Linked DNA regions of Xenopus tropicalis. The protein of the gene in region 4 purifies or fractionates together with the protein of the main gene of each other region. This does not show direct contact. Links are inferred from orthologs where the notes say so. Each region holds a gene or a part of one and is shown on either strand. Other genes may lie near its edges. The genes, in order: rpp38, rpp30, rpp40, pop7, ibtk and pop1.

The links.
Region 1: the proteins of pop7 (region 4) and rpp38 purify together in Homo sapiens (co-immunoprecipitation; 3 studies listed by BioGRID and IntAct, with this or other methods). This does not show direct contact. The link is inferred for Xenopus tropicalis from reciprocal best matches to the Homo sapiens genes POP7 and RPP38.
Region 2: the proteins of pop7 (region 4) and rpp30 purify together in Homo sapiens (co-immunoprecipitation; 4 studies listed by BioGRID and IntAct, counting the BioPlex papers as one, with this or other methods). This does not show direct contact. The link is inferred for Xenopus tropicalis from reciprocal best matches to the Homo sapiens genes POP7 and RPP30.
Region 3: the proteins of pop7 (region 4) and rpp40 purify together in Homo sapiens (co-immunoprecipitation; 4 studies listed by BioGRID and IntAct, with this or other methods). This does not show direct contact. The link is inferred for Xenopus tropicalis from reciprocal best matches to the Homo sapiens genes POP7 and RPP40.
Region 5: the proteins of pop7 (region 4) and ibtk purify together in Homo sapiens (affinity purification with mass spectrometry; 3 studies listed by BioGRID and IntAct, with this or other methods). This does not show direct contact. The link is inferred for Xenopus tropicalis from reciprocal best matches to the Homo sapiens genes POP7 and IBTK.
Region 6: the proteins of pop7 (region 4) and pop1 purify together in Homo sapiens (affinity purification with mass spectrometry; 3 studies listed by BioGRID and IntAct, with this or other methods). This does not show direct contact. The link is inferred for Xenopus tropicalis from reciprocal best matches to the Homo sapiens genes POP7 and POP1.

What each region holds. Positions count from the first base shown.
Region 1 is NC_030682.2:31,854,856-31,858,924, reverse strand, and holds the start of rpp38 (ribonuclease P protein subunit p38), read left to right. Parts: upstream 1-1,269; 5' UTR 1,270-1,368; intron 1,369-1,436; exon of another isoform or gene 1,437-1,531; intron 1,532-4,069. UniProt on the Homo sapiens protein: Component of ribonuclease P, a ribonucleoprotein complex that generates mature tRNA molecules by cleaving their 5'-ends. Also a component of the MRP ribonuclease complex, which cleaves pre-rRNA sequences.
Region 2 is NC_030683.2:36,834,767-36,837,424, reverse strand, and holds the end of rpp30 (ribonuclease P protein subunit p30), read right to left. Parts: intron 2,443-2,658; coding exon 2,405-2,442; coding exon of another isoform or gene 2,377-2,404; exon of another isoform or gene 2,333-2,376; intron 1,491-2,332; coding exon 1,411-1,490; intron 903-1,410; coding exon 802-902; 3' UTR 501-801; downstream 1-500. UniProt on the Homo sapiens protein: Component of ribonuclease P, a ribonucleoprotein complex that generates mature tRNA molecules by cleaving their 5'-ends. Also a component of the MRP ribonuclease complex, which cleaves pre-rRNA sequences.
Region 3 is NC_030682.2:88,074,105-88,077,604, forward strand, and holds part of rpp40 (ribonuclease P protein subunit p40), read right to left. Parts: coding exon 3,447-3,500; intron 2,102-3,446; coding exon 1,976-2,101; intron 495-1,975; coding exon 302-494; intron 1-301. UniProt on the Homo sapiens protein: Component of ribonuclease P, a ribonucleoprotein complex that generates mature tRNA molecules by cleaving their 5'-ends. Also a component of the MRP ribonuclease complex, which cleaves pre-rRNA sequences.
Region 4 is NC_030679.2:152,167,106-152,171,287, reverse strand, and holds pop7 (uncharacterized protein LOC100037866), read right to left. Parts: upstream 2,789-4,182; 5' UTR 2,772-2,788; intron 1,213-2,771; 5' UTR 1,210-1,212; coding exon 826-1,209; 3' UTR 501-825; downstream 1-500. UniProt on the Homo sapiens protein: Component of ribonuclease P, a ribonucleoprotein complex that generates mature tRNA molecules by cleaving their 5'-ends. Also a component of the MRP ribonuclease complex, which cleaves pre-rRNA sequences.
Region 5 is NC_030681.2:88,844,923-88,848,422, forward strand, and holds part of ibtk (inhibitor of Bruton tyrosine kinase), read left to right. Parts: intron 1-251; 5' UTR 252-597; coding exon 598-921; intron 922-2,305; coding exon 2,306-2,402; intron 2,403-3,500. UniProt on the Homo sapiens protein: Acts as an inhibitor of BTK tyrosine kinase activity, thereby playing a role in B-cell development. Down-regulates BTK kinase activity, leading to interference with BTK-mediated calcium mobilization and NF-kappa-B-driven transcription.
Region 6 is NC_030682.2:129,314,851-129,317,773, reverse strand, and holds the end of pop1 (ribonucleases P/MRP protein subunit POP1), read left to right. Parts: coding exon 1-102; intron 103-333; coding exon 334-988; 3' UTR 989-1,308; intron 1,309-1,391; 3' UTR 1,392-2,103; coding exon of another isoform or gene 2,104-2,233; 3' UTR 2,234-2,423; downstream 2,424-2,923. UniProt on the Homo sapiens protein: Component of ribonuclease P, a ribonucleoprotein complex that generates mature tRNA molecules by cleaving their 5'-ends. Also a component of the MRP ribonuclease complex, which cleaves pre-rRNA sequences.

The DNA.
Region 1 (4,069 bases), on a different chromosome or scaffold from region 4:
GAATTTTACTCTCTTCTTTTCTCTATCATCGGTCTCCAGCCTTAAGCTGGCCATACACGTGGCGATCTGACGATGTTTTGTGCGACCATCGGTCGCACGAAACATCGTCAGATTCGCCACACACAGTCAGGGCTGAAACAGCAGATAAGGAGGTAGAAACAATAGGATTTCTACCTCCTTCTGCCGATTCAGCCCTGATGGCAGATTTTGGTCAGGCGCCTTCTATGGCGCCCGATCAAAATTTTCTAACCTGGCCGATCGGCGAGTCGACCGATATCAGCAGCTTCCTGTGATATCGGTCGACTCGCCGACATGCCATACACGCACCGAATATCGTACGAAACGAGGTTTCGTACGCTAGTATCGGTGCGTGTATGGCCAGCTTTATTCTCAGAGAGCCTTTCTCTACTTGCTTTAATGCTCCGCCATCTTTTTTTATGTACCCTTCTCTCCGAACAACCATTGTCTCTGTTCTTTACAGAATTATTCTAAACTTGTATTCTCATTCTTATGCTGCTTTCCCAATTCTCCTTACTTTGCTTTCCCATTTACCTTCTGCTCCACCTTTCCTTATTGTCCCACCATCTCTTTGTTTACCATAAATCCTGAATTATTATTTCCACTTATCTTCACTGTATTTTCTCTGCACTTCTTTGTTAGTTTTTTAACCCCTGCATTGCCAGGATAGCCAGAGCCCAGGCCAACACACATGTAATACACAGATACAGCACAGACACATCTATTTCCCCATCCGCCCTGCTACTTCTCTTGCTGCTGTGTTTCCTTTCTTACCTATCTCTTTAAGCTAATATAATAATTGTATCCCACCTATTAGTTTCCCTTCATTTAACCCTCTCTCTCCCCTATTTCTATATTACCATTTTAATCTCCATCACGCCCATTCTTTTGTTTTCTCTTGTTTTGTACTTTATTTCATTCTGCTTTTCAGTACCTTCCTACTCTGCTATTTGTCCCCCTTCTCTGCTGCCGTCACACTTTCTTTCCCAGCATGTTTGCACTATCTGATTAGTTCTTTAGCCTTGGCATGTGTGTTATTCCCAACAGCAATGTGGTACAAAGGCAGAAGGAAGGGGCCGCACACAGACCGGCTGGGGAAACACATACAGGGAGTCAGTGTGGGACCTACCGCCCAATAGTCCGGCTCCTCAGCACATCCCGCACATCCCGCACCGCCAGATCGCTGTTTAAATATCCCGCAACACCTTAAAGTCTCCCGCACTTCCGCAAGCGGCTAATTCAGGCGTCACAAATCTCATCTTGCGAGACTGTGACGTCACGTCATTACGCAAAATGAGTGCGCCCACCCTCCGCCGGGAGTTGGACTCTCCGTTAACCCTAGTCACTAAGGTAGGCGAACCGTGGGACTGTGGGAAAGCTATCAGGAGGGGAGCCTGACACTATTATCTCTCTATATGGCGCTGATACCGCCTGGGCCTGGCTGCATCGGTGTGTCTGTGTACCCAGCATGGGGCTCTGTGGCACTTTCACTTCAGCTCCCGTTTGTCCTGCGGTTAGTCACTTTCTTTCTCCATGTGCCATACATATATAGTAGAGCCAATCAACTCTGAGTGAGTGAAAATATGTCCCCTCCAATGGGATGTGCATTTTATTGACAGAAACCTAATGGAAGCCGAGAGGAGGCCTGTCCAAGCGTTCTTGTGATCCTTTATCCAGAAACCTGTTACCCAGAAAGTTCCAAATTACGGAAAGGCCATATCCCATAGACTCCATTATAAGCAAATAATTCTATTTTTTTTAAATGATTCCCTTTTCTCTGTAATAATAAAACAGTACCTGTACTTGATCCCAACTAAGATATAATTACCCCTTATTGGGGGCAGAACAGCCCTATTGGGTTTATTTAATGGTTAAATGATTCCCTTTTCTCTGTAATAATAAAACAGTACCTGTACTTGATCCCAACTAAGATATAATTACCCCTTATTGGGGGCAGAACAGCCCTATTGGGTTTATTTAATGGTTAAATGATTCCCTTTTCTCTTTAATAGTTAAACAGTACCTGTACTTGATCCCAACTAAGATATAATTACCCCTTATTGGGGGCAGAACAGCCCTATTGGGTTTATTTAATGGTTAAATGATTTCCCTTTTCTCTGTAATAATAAAACAGTACCTGTACTTGCTCCCAACTAAGATATAATTACCCCTTATTGGGGGCAGAACAGCCCTATTGGGTTTATTTAATGGTTAAATGATTTCCCTTTTCTCTGTAATAATAAAACAGTACCTGTACTTGATCCCAACTAAGATATAATTACCCCTTATTGGGGACAGAACAGTCCTATTGGGTTTATTTAATGGTTAAATGATTCCCTTTTCTCTGTAATAGTTAAACAGTACCTGTACTTAATCCCAACTAGGATATAGTTAATCCTTATTGGATGAAGCCAGAGATTCCTGGCAATATTCAGCCAACTGAACCTGAACCAAATGTTTCCTGTCTTTTCACTGCGCAGGAAGCCGGGGGTCACAGAGTTGTTGGCTGCCTGTCTCATCTGAGTTCTGATTTTGTTTAGTATTGGACTGGGTTCTTGATATAAAACAATCTTTCTCTATTCTTTGTGTGGACACTGTTTTATATACAGTTCTGTTTGAAACCACTTGAATATAGAACCCTTTATCCAGAATGCTCGGGATCAAGGGTATTCCGGATAAGGGGTCTTTCCGTAATTTGGATCTCCATACCTTAAGGCTACTAAAAAATCAATAAAACATTAATTAAACCCAATAAGACTGTTTTGCATCCAATAAGGATTATTTACATCTTAGTTGGGATCAATTCCAAGGTACAGTTATATTACTACAGAGAAAAAGGAAATCAGTTTTAAAATTCTGTATTATTTGGAGAGCTTTCTGGATAGTGGGTTTCCGGATAAGAGATCCCATACCTGTATATAGGATAAACTATGCTACAGCACATGCAGGGTTCTGCTTGCCGTTAAAGGATCAATACACTAATTTTCTCCCCAGATCTTGCTTCAGGGACTGAAACATTGTGCCCGCTTCTACACAAAAAAATATAATGATTCCTGTATCGGTGGCCTTACTTCTATGTACTATTGTCACACGTGCATGTCAAGGTTCATTCCGCAACGCAGAACTACATATGTGATTGTGCTTGTGAAGGAATTTTGTGTATTTATGGATTTTGTCCTCTAAATTGTGTCAAGTGCATAACAAGCGATTTGCCATTAGAATTACTATAGCATACAGAAATTCTTGGAATGTTATCAGGTTTGGAGCATTATTCCAGACTTTCCTTATATATTTTAGGGGGGTCAGAGTATTTTTTTGTGTGTCTTACACCACAAAAAATGCACTAAATGTGTTGCATATTCAGTAGCTGAAGAGATCTCCTGTGCAATTTGTATGCACTAACTTCCTTTTGGGGTCTCTAAATGCCAGGTACTTTGGTAATCCTATGCACAATGGGCATCAAACTGTTCAGTGGCCCCTTGGCTTTCATATTTAGGGTATTGTTTATTGGTACCTAATGCCATGTGAGAGATATGATGCTTGAAAGTGGAAGATGAGGCGATTTCTTAGAATTTTCATAATTTTCTATAGAAACTGCAAATTTCAGAAAAGCATTGCTTGTATGGGTATGGCACCTGTTATCCAGAATGCTCGGGACCTGGGGTTTTCCGGATAAGGGTACTTTCCGTAATTCGGATCTCTTACCTTAAGTCTACTGAAAAAATTATTTAAACAGTAATTAAACCCAATAGGACTGTTTTGGCTCCAATAAGGATTAATTACATCTTAGTTGGGACCAAGTACAAGGTACTGTTTTATTATAATAAATGTGAATTATTTGATTAAAATGGAGTCTATGGGAGATGACCTTTCCGTAATTCGGAACTTTCTGGATAATGGGTTTCCGGATAAGGGGTCCAATACCTGTACAGCATTGTATTTAGAGCTCTAAATAATAATTGGCTATTTGGTAGCCCCTATGTGGATTGGCAGCCTATAGAAGGCTCTGTTTGGCTTTACACTGGGTTTTATGCAACCAAAACTTGCCTCC
Region 2 (2,658 bases), on a different chromosome or scaffold from region 4:
TGGATAATGAACATGAATTCTTATGAAACCATTGAGATACAGTACAAAGCAAGTTAAAATGTGGAGCTCCCGGACTGTGCTTTTATTTATAGCACGTAGGTATGAAGCTCACAGCACTGTACAGCATCTCAAATTTTACAATGAGTTCTTATACTTTACTTAACTGGCAAATGCAGGTCAAGGCCCTACATATCACTGGGCATCTTTTGACAAAGTGTTTTTAACTAAATGTGTAAATGTTAAAAGGTGACATATGTAAGAATTAGGAGAGACCAATAATGATCATTGTCATTTTATCTGGCGGTCATTCTTTGCCCTCTAGTGGTGGGTACAGTGTAACTGCACTGCTCTTTCATTGTCTCATCTCTGTATGATAATATGACAATTAGCAAGACGTGTATACACTGCATCATAATGGCATATAAATATATTTAAAGCAGAGTAAAACAGAATATGGAGGTTTGAAACTGTTTCTAGAGACAGACTAAAGAGATCTTTAATTCATTGTATAATGGCTCTTTAATAGAAATACAAATCTCAAATGTTCTGCAGCAGAACTGCGTCAAAAAAAATACTCTGTAGTCAATCTATTATTATTGTTATTATTTAACAATAAACATTAAACAAAAGGCAAAGTCTTTTCTCCATTGCTATTTATTGGTTTACAAAAATAGCTGCCCTGGATATAAATAAAAGCAAAAATAGGTCCATCCTGCAATGCTGGGTAGTAATTCTGCAACTTCACTTGTTAGGATTAACACTGCATCAGGGAAAAGCAAAAATGAGTAGAAATCTATGTAACTAAGATTTCTTGGCTTTTTTACAAACTGGTTCCGCTTCTTCCTCTTCCAAACATGTCTTCTTCACAGTGTACACGACACCAAAAGCAGTCTTTCTTGTTTCTGCATGGGGAACAAGATACAAAAATTATATTGGTTTGCAGGTTGGTTATTCGATGCTTGACAGATGCTGAGACTCTGAACAGTCTTTAGTATTCCATCTGCTGACCCACTAATACATATGCCTGTATGTTTTTGGACTACCTGTAGGAAACCCATGAAAACATGAAAGAACCTACATACTCCTTGCTGATAGTGCTCTTACTAGAATCAATCTTAGGTCCCTATGGCTGCTAATTTTGGAGCCACAGACAAGCCCAAAAAGGGATTCTCTTAAAGATGCCCTAAAACTCGTATATGCAACTTATAGATTGTACCACAATCTTTTAGAAAACTGGCAAATCCTATAAGAATGTAGGGGCTGTAGGTGCTTTACACTGCTTTCTGCAGTGCCCAAACACAATGGGGGCCATTTAAGAGGCCAAACTTGGAAATATTTCTTTGTTTGGTGATTTTAAACAGCTCTAGCTGCAACACTGCTCTTACATTACATATCCAAGGCATGGCTTACCTCCGTGCAGAACAGCAGAACGGCAGTTTGTAGATACGGCAGCCTTGGCAACTCCTTCTGTCAGTCCAAACAGCAAGCCTCTGTCAGTGATTTAAGGGTATTAACTAAGAATGACATGAGAAATACTTTTCAACAGCAAACATTTGACCTATTATTTTACTAATTTTGTTAGAATATTGGCAATTAGTGCATGATGTATCTCACCTTTGTAAAATGTCTGCCTGCCCTTTTTCCTTTTCCTAATACCGTCCTCTATTTATAGACATAAATTCCCTTTCCCTTCTTTTTTACACCAGAATAGTTTTTTTTTGTTCATTCCTAAATGATAATGCCCTGCCCATTAAGTCTATTTCCCAACTGCTTCATTAGCTTTATCTATGCACCTTCTTATAGATCTGTACAAAACTCACTTCCCCCTCTGTCATCAGGTTACCCCTCTATGTACTCCACTGAATTTATACTGACAATTCAATTTCTACTCCATCTCTTATTCCTCAGTTTGCATTTTACTTTACCTATTATCCCTATATATATTTAGCCACTTATGGTAACAAGGCCAGTGACTGGCCCAGCAACTGTACCTAAGTCCATTTTTCTAATAATTCAGCAGCCTGTTTTTATAATTAGTTAATAGTAAAGTTTCTGAAGAAAACAGATCTGTTTTACCAGTGCATGGCATACATTATATTGTAATTACTATAAAACACTTTTTTTGTGTTACTGTTCCTTTAAGATGTGATTGAAAATGCGATGTCCTGGCTCGTTCTGCCTGAAACGTCAAACATTTACAGTCCTTATTTCCCTTTAGAACTGTAAGACTCACTCACTGAAAAAAATGTTCTATCTTGAGCCAGCCAATTATATACACAAATCCATCATAATGTTTTTGCCCCTATATAACAAATGTTAGGAATGTACTTACCTCTACTCCCATGAGAAAGGTTCCACAGAATTAATTCAATTAAGTTACAGTACAAATGCTGGAAAAGGATACAGTGTTGCAATATCATAGGGGCCTCTCATTTCCAGTGCCTATAATTTAAGAAAAAAAAAAGTACAGAAGGCATATGGTGTTGCAAGTGTAATAAATCTTAGAATGCTTCTGTAAGTGAAGAATAACATTGGAGAAGCCACACTGAATAGTATCAGGCTTCTCTTGCCTAACACAGATAAAATGAATTGTCACTTATTCCTGTAAGTTTGTTTAAGAAGAGAATGAGCAAGTTAGATAGATACCTACTGAATGAC
Region 3 (3,500 bases), on a different chromosome or scaffold from region 4:
TTATTAAAAATAAAGATTTTTTTTGCATAGTTCATGATCCAGTACATGATTTCCTTGACATGGTTTAAGTATTAGGATAAAGACTGGATTACAATATCCCGAAGTGAACCAATACAAGTAGAAGCTTTTATTTTTTTTTTATGTTCTTTTAACCTTACATGACGCACCACATCACAGCACTCATTGCAATATAAAAAAGTATAAGGAGGCATCTATATAAATGAAGATGGGGGCATAAAAAGCTACAGGAGCAACATGTCTGTATGTAGTGTCTCTTAATAATTGTTACAGTATTACCCACCAGTCAATGCTATTGCTCACAGCACCGAGCCAGTCAAAAAGCTCTTCAGAACTACAAGATTCTTCAGGTTTCCCATGCAGGTCTCCACTCTTCAACACAGGGCAAGGCAAATCTCTTGATATCCTTGAAGTTATTTTAAAGTTACACTCTTTCACAGTGTATTTACAAAAGTATGACAATATGGAAGGTGCTCCTGAATACAAAACATAGAGAGGATCACACTGATGTGGAGCAGAAACATCACAAATTGAAATATATAAATAAAAAGAAACACTGTGTAAGCGGAATATAAATACTCTGAAAGATAAATTCCATTTACTGTACATTCCTTAAAACCTAATTTTGCCTCTTTTTAGGTCCCTGGTAAGGCCTCACCTTGAGTATGCAGTGCAGTTTTGGGCTCCAGTCCTTAAGAAGGATATTAATGAGCTGGAGAGAGTGCAGAGACGTGCAACTAAACTGGTAAAGGGGATGGAAGATTTAACATAAAAGGTTAGACTGTCGAGGTTGGGGTTTTCTTCTCTGGAAAAAAGGCGCTTGTGAGGGGACATGATTATTCTTTGCATGTACATTAGAGGGGATTATAGGCAGATAGGGGATGTGCTTTTTTCACATAAAACCGACCAGCGCACCAGATGCCACTCCTTTAGATTAGAGGATTGTTACATCCATTTGAAGCAGCGTATGCGTTTTTTCACGGTGAGGGCAGTGAGGTTGTGGAATGCCCTTCCTAGAGATGTAGTAATGGCAGATTCTGTTAATGCCTTTAAGAGGGGCCTGGATAAGTTCTTAAACAAGCATAGTATCCAAGGCTATTGTGATACTGAAATCTACAGTTGGCATTCATGTTGGTATATAGGGTTTTTTTTATGTGGGTCGGTATAGGTTGTGTGTGCTGGGTTTGCTTGAAAAGGTTATACTTTTTCAACCCTATGTATCTATGTATGCAATTTTTCAACTTAGCCAAAAATATTTCAGTGGTTTAAAAGTTATTTGTAAATGCAATTTCAATTGAAAGCATTCTCTGCACTCCTGGATCTGAATCCTAAACCAATATTGCAAGCCATCAGATTAAATAACCAAGAGGAGAACCGACTCCTGTTTTAGACCCAGAAAACCCAGTTTTTTTAAAAAAAAAAAGCTGCTTTCAATAGCAAGTTATATTTACAGACAACTTTAAAACCATGAAAAATTATGTAAACTTTCTCTGTGCTTCGCCAAGATTCATTTTCTGTTTTCAGGAGCTTCTGCTATATCTGCATTATAATTGCTAATAGCAGTCAGCAACCCAAGGGGTTAACAAAATGGAGGGAGTGCATAGCCTGCTAATAGCAGTCTAAACCTGCTTATATCTCAGAAACTACCAAAGACAGAAAATTAATGTAAACTACAAAAACGCTTGGAAGGACCACTCTGAGTAAGCTCATACCAACTCGATTTTTTGGGTGGACATCCCCTTTAAGTATTAAGAAATCTCAAATCTAACATGCATGTGCCAAGTTTTAATATGAAATGCAACACCATTTCCAGCGAGAATTTTTTTGAGTGTACTGTAAGTCATTTTCATTGCACTACACCATTAACTCATTCAGGAGCTAAGGTCTGTGTCTGTAAGTAAACCAAAATAATGTACTGTAAATAAAGGGTGTACATTGTAAGATTCATCAAAACTACCTGTGTTATCCCAAGCTAGGAGAAAGTCACATTTTAAAGGTTTCTTTTCAGTAAATGCCCAGTTTAGACGCTGAAATTTCTTGCCACCAGGAGCTAGACCTTCTTCAGTTAGGTCAATTTTAATAACTGTAAAAAAAAAATTTGTTTTGAATATGCAGTTATCTTTTTAAAGAAATATATGCTCTCTGACACTGTCCTTAAAAAGGAATCATTGCTATTATGAAAAAAAAACACCAAAACTATAGTGGAAGTTTTTAATTTTAATCCTTTTCTTATAGCTGTTTATATATTTAACAGCTTATTTAGATTTTCTCAACATGACTTTTTCTTACAGCTGCAAAAACACATCACCTCTAAAGGTGCCCGTTATGATCTAAGTGTTGCCAACAAGGCCAAACAATCAGATTGGCTCAAAATGTAGGTGGCCAAATCAGGCAAAGATCCACTCAATTGGCAACCTTGCCAAACAAGCACATCTTAAAGGACAAGGAAAGTCAAAATCTATTAAGCACACTATTAAATAGTACTACTATTGCTGTGTAAAAACGCTATATTTCTGGCTTGCCTAATAAAAGATTTACAGAGATACACATACTAGAAACTACATAGTTGTTTCAGTGAACGGCGCCGCCATCTTGTCCAGCATGTCTGTATGGGCCATTCCACCCCCCCCGCTGAGATCCCCGCACCTACCGGCTCACAAACCCCCAGACCCCACCCCGCTACGATCGCCTCAGCTACCGGCTCACAAACGCCCTCCCCCCGTTCCGATTCCTGCATCTGCCGCCTGCCAGCTCACACAAACCCCCCCTCCCCCCGCTCTGATCCCCGCCCTGCCGTCTGCCGGTGTGCATGCCACAGAATAGCACTTATAGGGGTGTTGCTGAAAAGCACAAAACCAGTCCCCCCCCCTTGCACAGTAATAAACAATGCTTTCGGTCTCCAATAGAGAGGCGCTTAGAATATCATGAAGTCGGGATAACAAGTCCTAAGGACAAAAGTCTAGCTAAAAGATACTACAAGATTTTGGCAAGCTTCATGTCATGCAATTGACAATATGTTGTCTTCATACACAGCTCCAGCCTATGAAACCATTCTAATGTGCTCCATGATATCAGCTGGACATGAGAAAAAGTATCAACGGTGCCACCTTGAAGGCAGAATATAATTTAATTTGCTGTGCATGGCACAGAACAGCACTTATGGGGGTTGAGATTAACTCTTACTAGCCTTTCCTTCTCCTTTAAGATGAATGGCATACTATATCAGCACCCCAGGGAATTCACATTTCCTTGTCCTTTAAGCACGATTAAGAATAAAACTTAATAATGAGGGCAGTCGTATATTTTCCCTATCTACTGCAACAAATTGCCAGAAAAACACATATGTGCTGACATGCACTAATATGTATTTTACAATTACTTAAAAAACAGTAACAGAAAAACTATAAAGATAAGAATAAAATACTTACTGTATCGCAGAGGGTTTTTACCAGAATAAAGGGATGGTTTGCCTTGAAGACCCA
Region 4 (4,182 bases):
TCAGTTCACGGTAACCATTTGTGCTTTATAGAGCCTGTACGGGCTGACGCACCTATTCCCTAAGTAAGTGGAGGCGGAGCCTAAAGAAACATAACGGGAAACCCGGAGCAGTTGGGACCTCCCACTTTTCCCCAGTTGGGGGGCAGGCAGCAGATTTAACCCTTTACACACCATTAGAAGCTGGAATGCGCTATGGGCCCCTAGCAACAGAATGGGTTGCTATGGTGCAAATGCCGAGGGGGCTCAGTTGTCCTTATGAAGAGGTGTGGGGTCCATTTTCCATCCATTCCCTCAGCCCCTCCCCCTTTACTCCACCCCAGCCCCTCCCACCCCACTCCTTTACTCCCCCTCAGCCCCCCCCCCTTTTATTCCAGCTCAACCCAGCCCCCCCAACCCCATTCCTTTACTGCACCTCAGCCCCCTCTGTAATTCCTACTCAGGCCCTCCCCCTTTACTCCAGCCCCTCCCCCTTTACATTCCATGTAGAGAGAAACATCACATGACCAGAATGATTTAATGGATGACTGACACAAGAGGCAGGAATTACTGAGCGTCTCTCTGAGCATGTGCAGTGGCTGTGAGCCCCCGCCCCCTCTGTGTCAGGGGCACTGCACATGCTCAGTGTGCGTTGGTGCAGCTGATTGGCTGGTACAGAAGCCACAAGCTTGGGCGCAGGTCCGGTTGCTGGAATGGTAAGTAGGGACGTCCCAACATGGAGAGAATGTGGCGCCACAGGGGGATCGGCCAATCAGCGCTGCCCCTGGCACCATTGGCAATAAGGGCTGTTACCAAGGGAACATAAGTACCATTGCCCCGGGCAGCCCCTCACTCTCCCTGCGGCCGATATACGCGGATATGAATGGCAGAGTTATTCCGGTTCCGGGCTCCGGGTTCCATGTCCTCCCCACCCTCGGGTTCTAGATCGTCGGTGAGTTCCACGGTGGAGGTGCTGGGGGAGAGGAGCAGGGTGCCGGGGTGGGACAGCTGCAGCTGCAGCGCCAGGTTAATGGCTCGCCCAATGGCCAGGCCCAAACCGTGCACCCGAACTTCCCTCAAGCCCCCGGCACCGAGAAGCTGGCGGCACCGAGCCAACTGGGCCCGGAAATCAGTCTTTGTATTGACATAAATGTCACTTGGGCTCCGAGGCGGCCGGGGGGCGGGGCGACGTGTGTGAAGGCCCCGCCCAGGAAGTGATTTCTGTTCCGCCATCTCCTAAAGGGGAAGATAAGCAGTTATTTACCATCCAGAACCAGCTGTGCGGCCCAACAGTCTCCTTCCCACTAACAGAACCGGCCCAACAGTCTCCTTCCCGCTAACAGAACCGGCCCAACAGTCTCCTTCCCGCTAACAGAACCGGCCCAACAGTCTCCTTCCCGCTAACAGAACCGGCCCAACAGTCTCCTTCCCGCTAACAGAACGGCCAACAGTCTCCTTCCCGCTAACAGAAACCGGCCCAACAGTCTGCCTTCCCGCTAACAGAAAACCAGTCTCCTTCCCAAACAGAACCGGCCCAACAGTCTCCTTCCCGCTAACAGAACCGGCCCAACAGTCTCCTTCCCGCTAACAGAACCGGCCAACAGTCCTCCTTCCGCTAACAGAACCGCCCAACAGTCCTCCTTCCCGCTAACAGAACGCGGCCCAACAGTCTCCTTCCCGCTAACAGAACCGGCCCAACAGTCTCCTTCCCGCTAACAGAACCGGCCCAACAGTCTCCTTCCCGCTAACAGAACCGGCCCAACAGTCTCCTTCCCGCTAACAGAACCGGCCCAACAGTCTCCTTCCCGCTAATAGAACCGGGTAAGGGGGTAGGGGGGCCCGGGGTAGGGGTAGGGGGGCCCGGTAAGGGTAGGGGGCCCGGTAAGGGGTAGGGGGGGCCCGGGGAGGGGGTAGGGGGGGCCCGGGGGAGGGGTAGGGGGGCCCGGGGGAGGGGGTAGGGGGGCCCGGTAAGGGGTAGGGGGGGCCGGGGGAGGGCAAGGGGGGGCCCGGGGAGGGCCCGGGTAGGGGGGGCCGGGTAAGGGGCAGGGGGGGCCCGGGTTAAGGGGGCAGGGGGGTAGGGGGGGCCGGGGGAGGGCAGGGGCGGGGCCCGGGGGAGGGGTAGAGGGGCCGGGGGGAGGGGGAGGGGGGGCCCGGGGGAGGGGGGCGCCGGGTAAGGGGCAGGGGGGGCCCCGGGGAGGGCAGGGGGGGCCCCGGGGAGGGGTAGGGGGCCCGGGTAAGGGGCAGGGGGGGCCCGGGGGAGGGGCAGGGGGGGCCCCGGGGGGAGGGGTAGGGGGCCTGGGGGAGGGGTAGGGGGGGCCGGGGGAGGGGGAGGGGTAGGGGGGCCCGGGGGAGGGGTAGGGGGGCCTGGGGGAGGGGTAGGGGGGCCCGGGGTAAGGGGCAGGGGGGGCCCGGGTAAGGGGCAGGGGGGCCCGGGTGAGGGGCAGGGGGGCCCGGGGGGAGGGGTAGGGGGGCATGGGGGAGGGGTAGGGGGGCCCGGGTAAGGGGCAGGGGGGCCCGGGGGAGGGGTAGGGGGCCTGGGGGAGGGGTAGGGGGGGCCCGGGTAAGGGGGGTAGGGGGGGGAGGGCAGGGGGGAGGGCAGGGGGGCAGGGGGGGGAGGGGGCCCGGTGGGAGGGGGAGGGGGGCCGGGGGAGGGGAGGGGGGGCCCGGGTAAGGGGTAGGGGGGGCCCGGGTAAGGGGTAGGGGGGGCCCGGGGGAGGGCCCGGGGGGGGGGGGCCCGGGGGAGGGGATGAGGAGTCGGACACACTAGGGAAGGAGAGACCCGTTACCCATCATACCTCACTTCAGCTCTCCCTACACAATGACAGACGGATCGCCGCTTAGGACATGTTTTTTTAAGGAGAGCCGCTTCTGACGCAATAAAGAGAGGCCCCTTAGTACCGAGTAATAACTGCGCGCCAGAGGGAGGCGCTTCCCCACACGCATGCGCAGAGCTGTGCGGAGACACTCGGGCGCCATGTTTGCTGCTGGAGATATCGGAAAGCTGTGGCCTCTCACTTCCGGTTTCCTGCTAATGGGCCCTGAGTATGAAATGGGGGCGGCGCTTCTGTTGTGCCTTCTGCCCCTTATATACCCCCATATATATATATATACCCAGTGGGGTTAGGGAAGGCCCCCGTGTCCCAAGGAGAGAAGGCCCCGGTACCAGCCCAGTGGGTTCCACATTACAGAGTTTATTGTATGGTCCCTGTATATATAGGTAGTGGCCGGGAGTCCCAAGATGGATGCCCTTTACTGGAACAGATCCCTACAGGCAGCGGTGGCTCAGGGGTTAATCCTATGCCTGGGGTACTAACCCTTACGTTCCCCTATGGTGGGGCGGCAGCCGCTATTATATACCCTGCTGCCATTACTTATCCTCACTGGGGCCAATGGCCCCCTAGCCCATACCTCCCAACATTTGAAAAATGAAAAGAGGGACAAAAAGTTTTGGCGCGCGCAGCACTGCAATTTTTGACCACACCCACTTTTGTGGCCACACCCCAATTACCACACCCCATTTTTAAAAAAAATACTCCTTTTATATAGATGAAATGGCGGGATCAGACGCAAATGTGCTATACCCTCATACTGTACTGCCTAAGGGAAACAATATAGCAACTCCTACATATAAATACAAATATAGAGAGAAGGCAGTCAGTTATATGTGAGTTATAACTATGTACCAGTTTTGCCCCCCATACACAGGTGCCCCCCATACACAGGTGCCCCCCATACACAGGAGCCCTCATACACAGTACCCCCATACACTGTACCCCCATACACAGGTGACCCCCATACACAGTACCCCCATACACAGGTGCCCCCATACACAGTACCCCCATACACAAGTGCCCCCCATACACAGGTGCCCCCCATACACAGATGCCCCCCATACACAGTACCCCCATACACAGGTGCCCCCCATACACAGGAGCCCCCATACACAGTACCCCCATACACTGTACCCCCATACACAGGTGACCCCCATAGACAGGAGCCCCCCATGCACAGTACCCCCATACACAGTAGCCCCCTATACACAGTAGCCCCCCATACACAGTAGCCCCCATACACAGTACCCCCATACACAGTACCCCCATACACAGTAGCCCCCCCATACACAGTACCCTCATACACAGGTGCCCCCATACACAGTACCCCCATACACAGTAGCCCCCCCATACACAGTACCCCCATACACAGGTG
Region 5 (3,500 bases), on a different chromosome or scaffold from region 4:
GTGTAGATGTGTGGTATTGGTCTATGTTTGTGTGCTGGGGTTTGCTTAGAGGGGTTGAACTTGATGGACCTTGGTCTTTTTTTCATCTGTGTAATGAATACATTAAAATGTGTCTTTCTTTTACCACGCCCTAGTGTATGACACAGTTAAAGAATATATTATGTTTGATGGCTTTTAACAATTCTATTGCATTCTTTCTTACAGTATATTCTTGTATATAATCTGTGTTTCTTTTTCTTTGTTCTGCACAGATATATTTGCAATCATGGAGATCTGAAAGGACAGAAGTTTGAGTGGAGGGTTGTCCCTCCCTCTACATTCTTCTCTATATTGCTGCTGGACTCATGTCTTGAACATAAGAACAAGATTATATTGCACAAACATTTTCTTATAAACTTGTGGAAGTGGGTTGTAAGGGATTGCTTTGTAATAGTAATATTTATTATTAATTGTAATGAAGTGCCAAATCTATTTGTATAGCACAAAAAAACCATAGGGATATCATGGTATGAGTTTTCTATGGTACTTGGGCTCTTTTTTGGAATTTGCTTCCACTGCAGTGACATTTGCAAAGAAGAAATGTCAGATTGAAAAGAAATGGAAAGAGTATGGCCTGAGTGCACTACACGTTGTCGCTCTCTCCAGCATGCCTTGGATGTTATTTCCGTGGTGACTAGAGGAAGTGAACAGCAGATAAAGATCTTCCTTTCTTCTTACTGCTGTAATGCTACTACACTAAAAGATACCTTTGGGCGGAATGTTACTCATATTGCAGCATCCTGTGGGAAGAAAAATGTACTTGATTGGTTAGTTACAGAAAAAGGTGTTGACTTGTCAGTCAAAGACAAAGAATCAGGATGGACAGCACTACACAGAAGCATTTTCTACGGACATATTGATTGTGCATTATCCCTCTTAAAGGTTAGTAGTGTAGATACATTGTATTTAAAGGGGAACTAATATAAGGTTTAGCTCACTTCTATAAGAAACTTTCTAAATATAATAATTAAATATTGTATACTATGTCTAAAGTAACTATTTACTATTCCTCAGTCTGTGTCTTTATTCTCTCCTCATGCAGTAGTTGGAGTCAGATTTTGATTGTCCGTAATGTCTAATAGATGCTTTAGAAGTGCTCCCTTTGCCGAAAGATGTATTAGGGATCACTCTTTGAAAATAACCAGAAATACTCTCTCTCTACATTTAGGATTTGTGCTGGAGTCAGTTGTTTTGTTCGATCTTGTTTGTGCAGGAGTTGGTTATCTGAGTAAGCTCTAACACATATGCTAGGAAAGGAACTGCCCTCCCCAAAGTATTGTAACCACCTGAAACTGGTCATGTCCTTGGGATTACCCATACTTCCTTAATTCACCCAAAAAAACCCCCAAATGAACATCTTAGTATAAGAAGTATCCTTGGGTCACCAGCATTTTTGAGGGCTTGTCCTAGTCTTAGTTTATATTTTGACTTGTTAGCTTGAGCTTAAATAAACAAGAAATCTGGATTTACACAGTACTTCAATTTTATAGGAGGTGAAGAGGAATATTATAACCAGACAGCTTTTGAAAAGTGGAGACTTACACCAGGCTGTATATAGAAATGAAAAAAAAAAAAATATGAAGTGCAAGTGAACATTTGAACATTTGTGAATATTTATTTCTAAAGTTTTTTTTACATTTTATCTTAAAGGGGTTATCCACCTTTTAGTATAACGTAGAAAGTAATATTCTGAGACAATTTGCAATTGGTTATTTTTTATTTGTAGTTTTTTAAAAAAAAAATCAGTTTTTTTGTTCAGCAGCTCTCCAGCTTGGCCTTTCAGCTGCTATTAGGTTACTAAGATCCAAACTACCTTAGCAACCAGGGTGTGGTTTAAATGAAAGACTGGATATAAATAGGAGAGGACCTGAATAGAAAAATAAGTAATATAAAGTAATAATAACAATTTAAACAGTAGCTTCACAAAACAATAGTTTTTTGGCTCAGTTGTCAATGACAACTAAGCTGCAAAGAGTTAGAAGAAGGCGGTAAACAATTCAAAAACTATGAAAAACAATTAAGATCAATTGAAATGTTGCTTAGAACTGGCCTTTCTATCAAATACTAAAAGTTAACTTAAAGGTGAACCACCCCTTTAATGTGAATTTATACATGTATATCAGAGAGTTACGTCTTGGTTACTTATATAAAAGGAAATTTGGCTTTAAGACACTCTTGTAAAATATTGATGATCTTGTATTGCAGTGAAGCCTTTTTTAGTATAGCGATTATAGTATCTCACTTTTACTTGTCTTTATTTCCATAGCATGGCAGTAACCTTTACATTCAAGATAAAGATGGATATACTCCGTTGGATGTGGTAATGAAAGACAGACCTCCCCACATTATTTTCAAAACTAGCGGTATGACATATTATCTCTCTAGTTTCTTTCCATAACTTCCAAGCTTAAAACCAGTTGCAAAACTGTAAGGAACTCCTTTAATATTGTTTATTTATTGATTTACTCAGTGCAACTTTCAATAGGCTGCTCAATGTAAACACCAGTATGCCATGAACATGTATAAAAAAAAATGATTATTAATTGCACACCGCACCTCTCACAGGTAACAATACTTGCTTTTTGAGTTTTCGATACCACATGAAACAATGATAGTGTAGTACTTTCCAGTACTCATTATATTACAAAAATGTCTAGTCTGATATTCACGTTCAACTGGGGCACCGAGAACATACACCAGAGTCATACTGGTGCAGCACACTTGCATTGAATTCCTCTCTCCTTTCTAGAATTGCAGATTCAGATTTATGAATTTCTTATAGGAAAATTGTCATAAACCAGTTTAAAGGAGAAGAAAAGTCATTTTGGCCTTTTACTGCCAATAGATGTGCCACATTAGTGCCACCTATAACAATATATTTATTATGCAGAAACCATTAACATACCTGAGTAAACAGCTTTAGAAGCTTTCTTAATATAGCAGCTGCCATTTTAAAGTGATACTAACAGCCAATTAAAAAAAAATTTTTACGCCCTCTGTTGTGTTTTAATTTGTATCAGCTTTAAATTCCTTATAAACTAAATCTGCAAAGTTTTTTCGCTTCATAATTATGGTAGCACAAATTACAGACCCACGGAGCAGCAATGTTTGTTCCCCTCTTCCGGGGTTTAATTTAAATGCCTCCCAAGTGAATAAATATGCCCAATAACAAACCTGCAATGCCCCTTCTGCTTTCTGCCGGTGTGTGACAAGCTTCAGCTCTGTTGGAGAGAGCGGGGAGAGCCCTTAGAAGCAGGCCCGCTATTTAAATTCTTCATGCGAAGAGCAGAGGGGGGGGGCAGCCCTTTGAAGCAGGCAGGCAATGGAAAGGTCAAGCCTGCCTGCTATCTAGTTCACGATGCGATGCGAGGATCGAGGGAGGGGGAGCTCGTTGAAGCAAACGGCAAGCTGAATCCTCACAGTTTATGATGTAGTCCTTTGGACAGATTGAGAAGCTACAG
Region 6 (2,923 bases), on a different chromosome or scaffold from region 4:
AGAGGCACAGGAGGACGTGAGAATGGAACCTGGTTCCCAAGGCACCATGGGAAATGAGCTGGATATGGAAAAAGCAGGTGGAGCCGGTGTGTGTGTGTTGAGGTAGGCTGGCTTATTTACTTACACATCCACATTATGCAAATAAATACCTGTCTGTGGGGAATTGCCCTGCAAAGGCAAACAGTATAGCACCTCCCGCAGCCCTGTAAATGCAAATGCACCACCTCTTACAATTTTAGTTTGCTTTTTAATGAATAACTGCTCTGAGTATTGGCCTGAGATATAAGCCAGGGGTCTGTTCTTATGCCTTTATCTATTTTCATTAAATGCCAGGAACAAAAGAATTCTGAAGGAGCTTTGTACACTGTGTAGTCTGTGTAATCAGAGAGGCCCAAGATCCAAGCAAATTCCCAGTCCTGCTCCACACGGACCATCCGACATGCTACTGCAGGTTCTGCACACTTTCCCTCGCTCCCTGGTATGGGTCAGGCTGACCATGCTGACAAAGGGTACCCCAGAACTCCATGCCATGATCTGTATACCTTCTGAGCAGGACTTGGTGCAACTTGCTACTGACAAATCATTCGCTGGCCCTCAGGAGCCTAAGCATGGAGATCCCATCAAGAAGAAAGTACTGAAACATCAAAAGGAGACAAAGAAGAAGAAAGCAAAAGCTAAAATGGAGAAGGAAGCACCACAACAAAAGGAAGAGATGTCCAGGGATGATGACAGTGATCAGCTTACCCTCGGCTTGTGGCCTAATCCTCTACCTCCGGTCATCAGTCACTGCTGTAGAACCCTGCTCGGATTCGTCACCCATGGGGACTTTTCTATGGCCGCCGGCTGTGGGGAGTCATTAGGGTTTGTCAGCTTAACTGGCCTTATAGACATGCTGTCTGGTCATCCTGTGAACAGGACTGGGTTTGTGCTGGTTAGAAACCCGTCCTCTTTGCAGTACAGGTTTGCCAAAATAATGGTTGCTGCATAGACACAACTGTAACTCAATCCTCTGCATGTCTGCTCCAGATACAGCGCCTGTGACAAACTCATTTACTATAGTTACTGAGCAGTAATAAAAGGTTTCAGTTATATGGGTTGCTCAACTCAATAGCTGCATGAAAGACCGACTGGAAAATGAATCCAAAGACAAGTAATACCTCATAGAAAGGGGAGTTTCCAGCTCCTCCTTGTATTCAGAATTCAATTCAGCAGTAGGGATTTGTGTGCATTGTAACATAGACCCAGATCGCTCAGGTGGGACCAGCATGCACATAATAGTTCCAGTTTAGCTTGGATATAATGTGTTGTACACCCAGGATGGGCGTGGGGGGTGGGGGGAGGGGGAGGAGTGAATTGTGGAAGCATTACAGAATACTAACACCTATAGGTCAAGTGGGTCTGCATGAAGTTAGTCACCTATACAAGACCAATAGAGGGTGCGGCCCTGCCCCATACATTTAAAAGGTGACATCAACTCTATGTGTCACATAATGTACATGAATTTTATACATTGCGAATATCAAGAATGTGTAACTGGAGCTGTTCAACCTGGACTCTCCTTCAGTAGTTCTACTGCTCAGTTTGGCATGATTTATAGACGTGAGCAGAGAAGTGACACTCCTTGCTTCACTAAATCAAGCTTTTGATGTTATTTCCTGCCCTTGCCCAGGTTAAACAGCAGGGGGCTGTATTTGTGTATATCATAGCCCAGTTAATGCACTGGGGGATCAATATCTATGTCCTGTCAAGAGTCCCTTGACTGCCTTTCTGGATGAATTTGCCTGCATGTGGGCTCATGGGCCCATATGCTACTGTAGGGTCTCTAAGTAACATAAGGAAGCGCTTATGTGTGACAGCTTCCCTTGGCCTTGTCCCTTCATCTCCACCAAAGCTATAGATGAGAGTGCTGAAATGAGAGTGAGGAGTTGGCAGTGGGCCCATCATTTCATTATCCTGTGCCCTTCTCTGCATCCTCCACTCCTTCCTTGCCATTTAGCAGCCTTTGTGATTAATGGGTCTCACATCTCAGCATAAAGAATAGAATTCAGTATTCTTTATTGTGAACTGAGCAACATTAATAGGCTTTTTTTTTTTCTTTTTTAGCAAAGGACGCCTGTACAATGTGCGCTGTTCTTTATATTTGGAGAAGGATACTCCTGCTGCTTTATTTAACCATTATGTAGCCTTTCCTTTGTGCATAAGTTATGTATATTTATTTTCTGTTTTTCCTTAATAAAAGCAAATGTTTATGTTGCAATGCATTAAGGAGTTCAGATGTATGAAAAATGCCTTAAGGAGTCCCGGACGCAGGGTGCTAGGCTGGGCACAGCCATTTGCACTGTACACAAAGAAATAAAGAACTGCACAACAAAATGTGGATTTTGGCATCTGGTTACTTCAAATAAATGAACAGGTTGACTTCCTTTCCTCCTTTTATTTAATATTCATTTATTGAACGAACATTGGTAGTTGCTTAGAACAACATTGTCTTTAATTATGCAAAATGTTATATTTGGCATTAAATGATAACATGGGATTAGGGTCAGGCAAGATGGACATTTGTTATGAGTTTCCAGCCTTTAGAAGGGCAACCTCTTTGGTAAAATCATAAATAGATTATATGATACTGTGTGATGATTGTAAGCACCCCCGTCCCCTGCTTCTCTTGCATTGTGTATTGGTTATACATTGGGAAGTTCAAAGCATTAAACACAATCAGCCACAAGATGGCGATATTGAAACACAGTCTTTGCTCTGCATTCTCCCTTGCAGTAATTTAATATCAATTTATCCCTTTATTCCAGTCTATAGGCAGTCATTCCAAACATGTTGATAGGAGAGCAATGAGAAATGCTGATGTTGGTGAAACTATTTTCCTTGTGATTGTAGGGTTAACTCCTTGGCTGCCCAAAATGTTAAACTT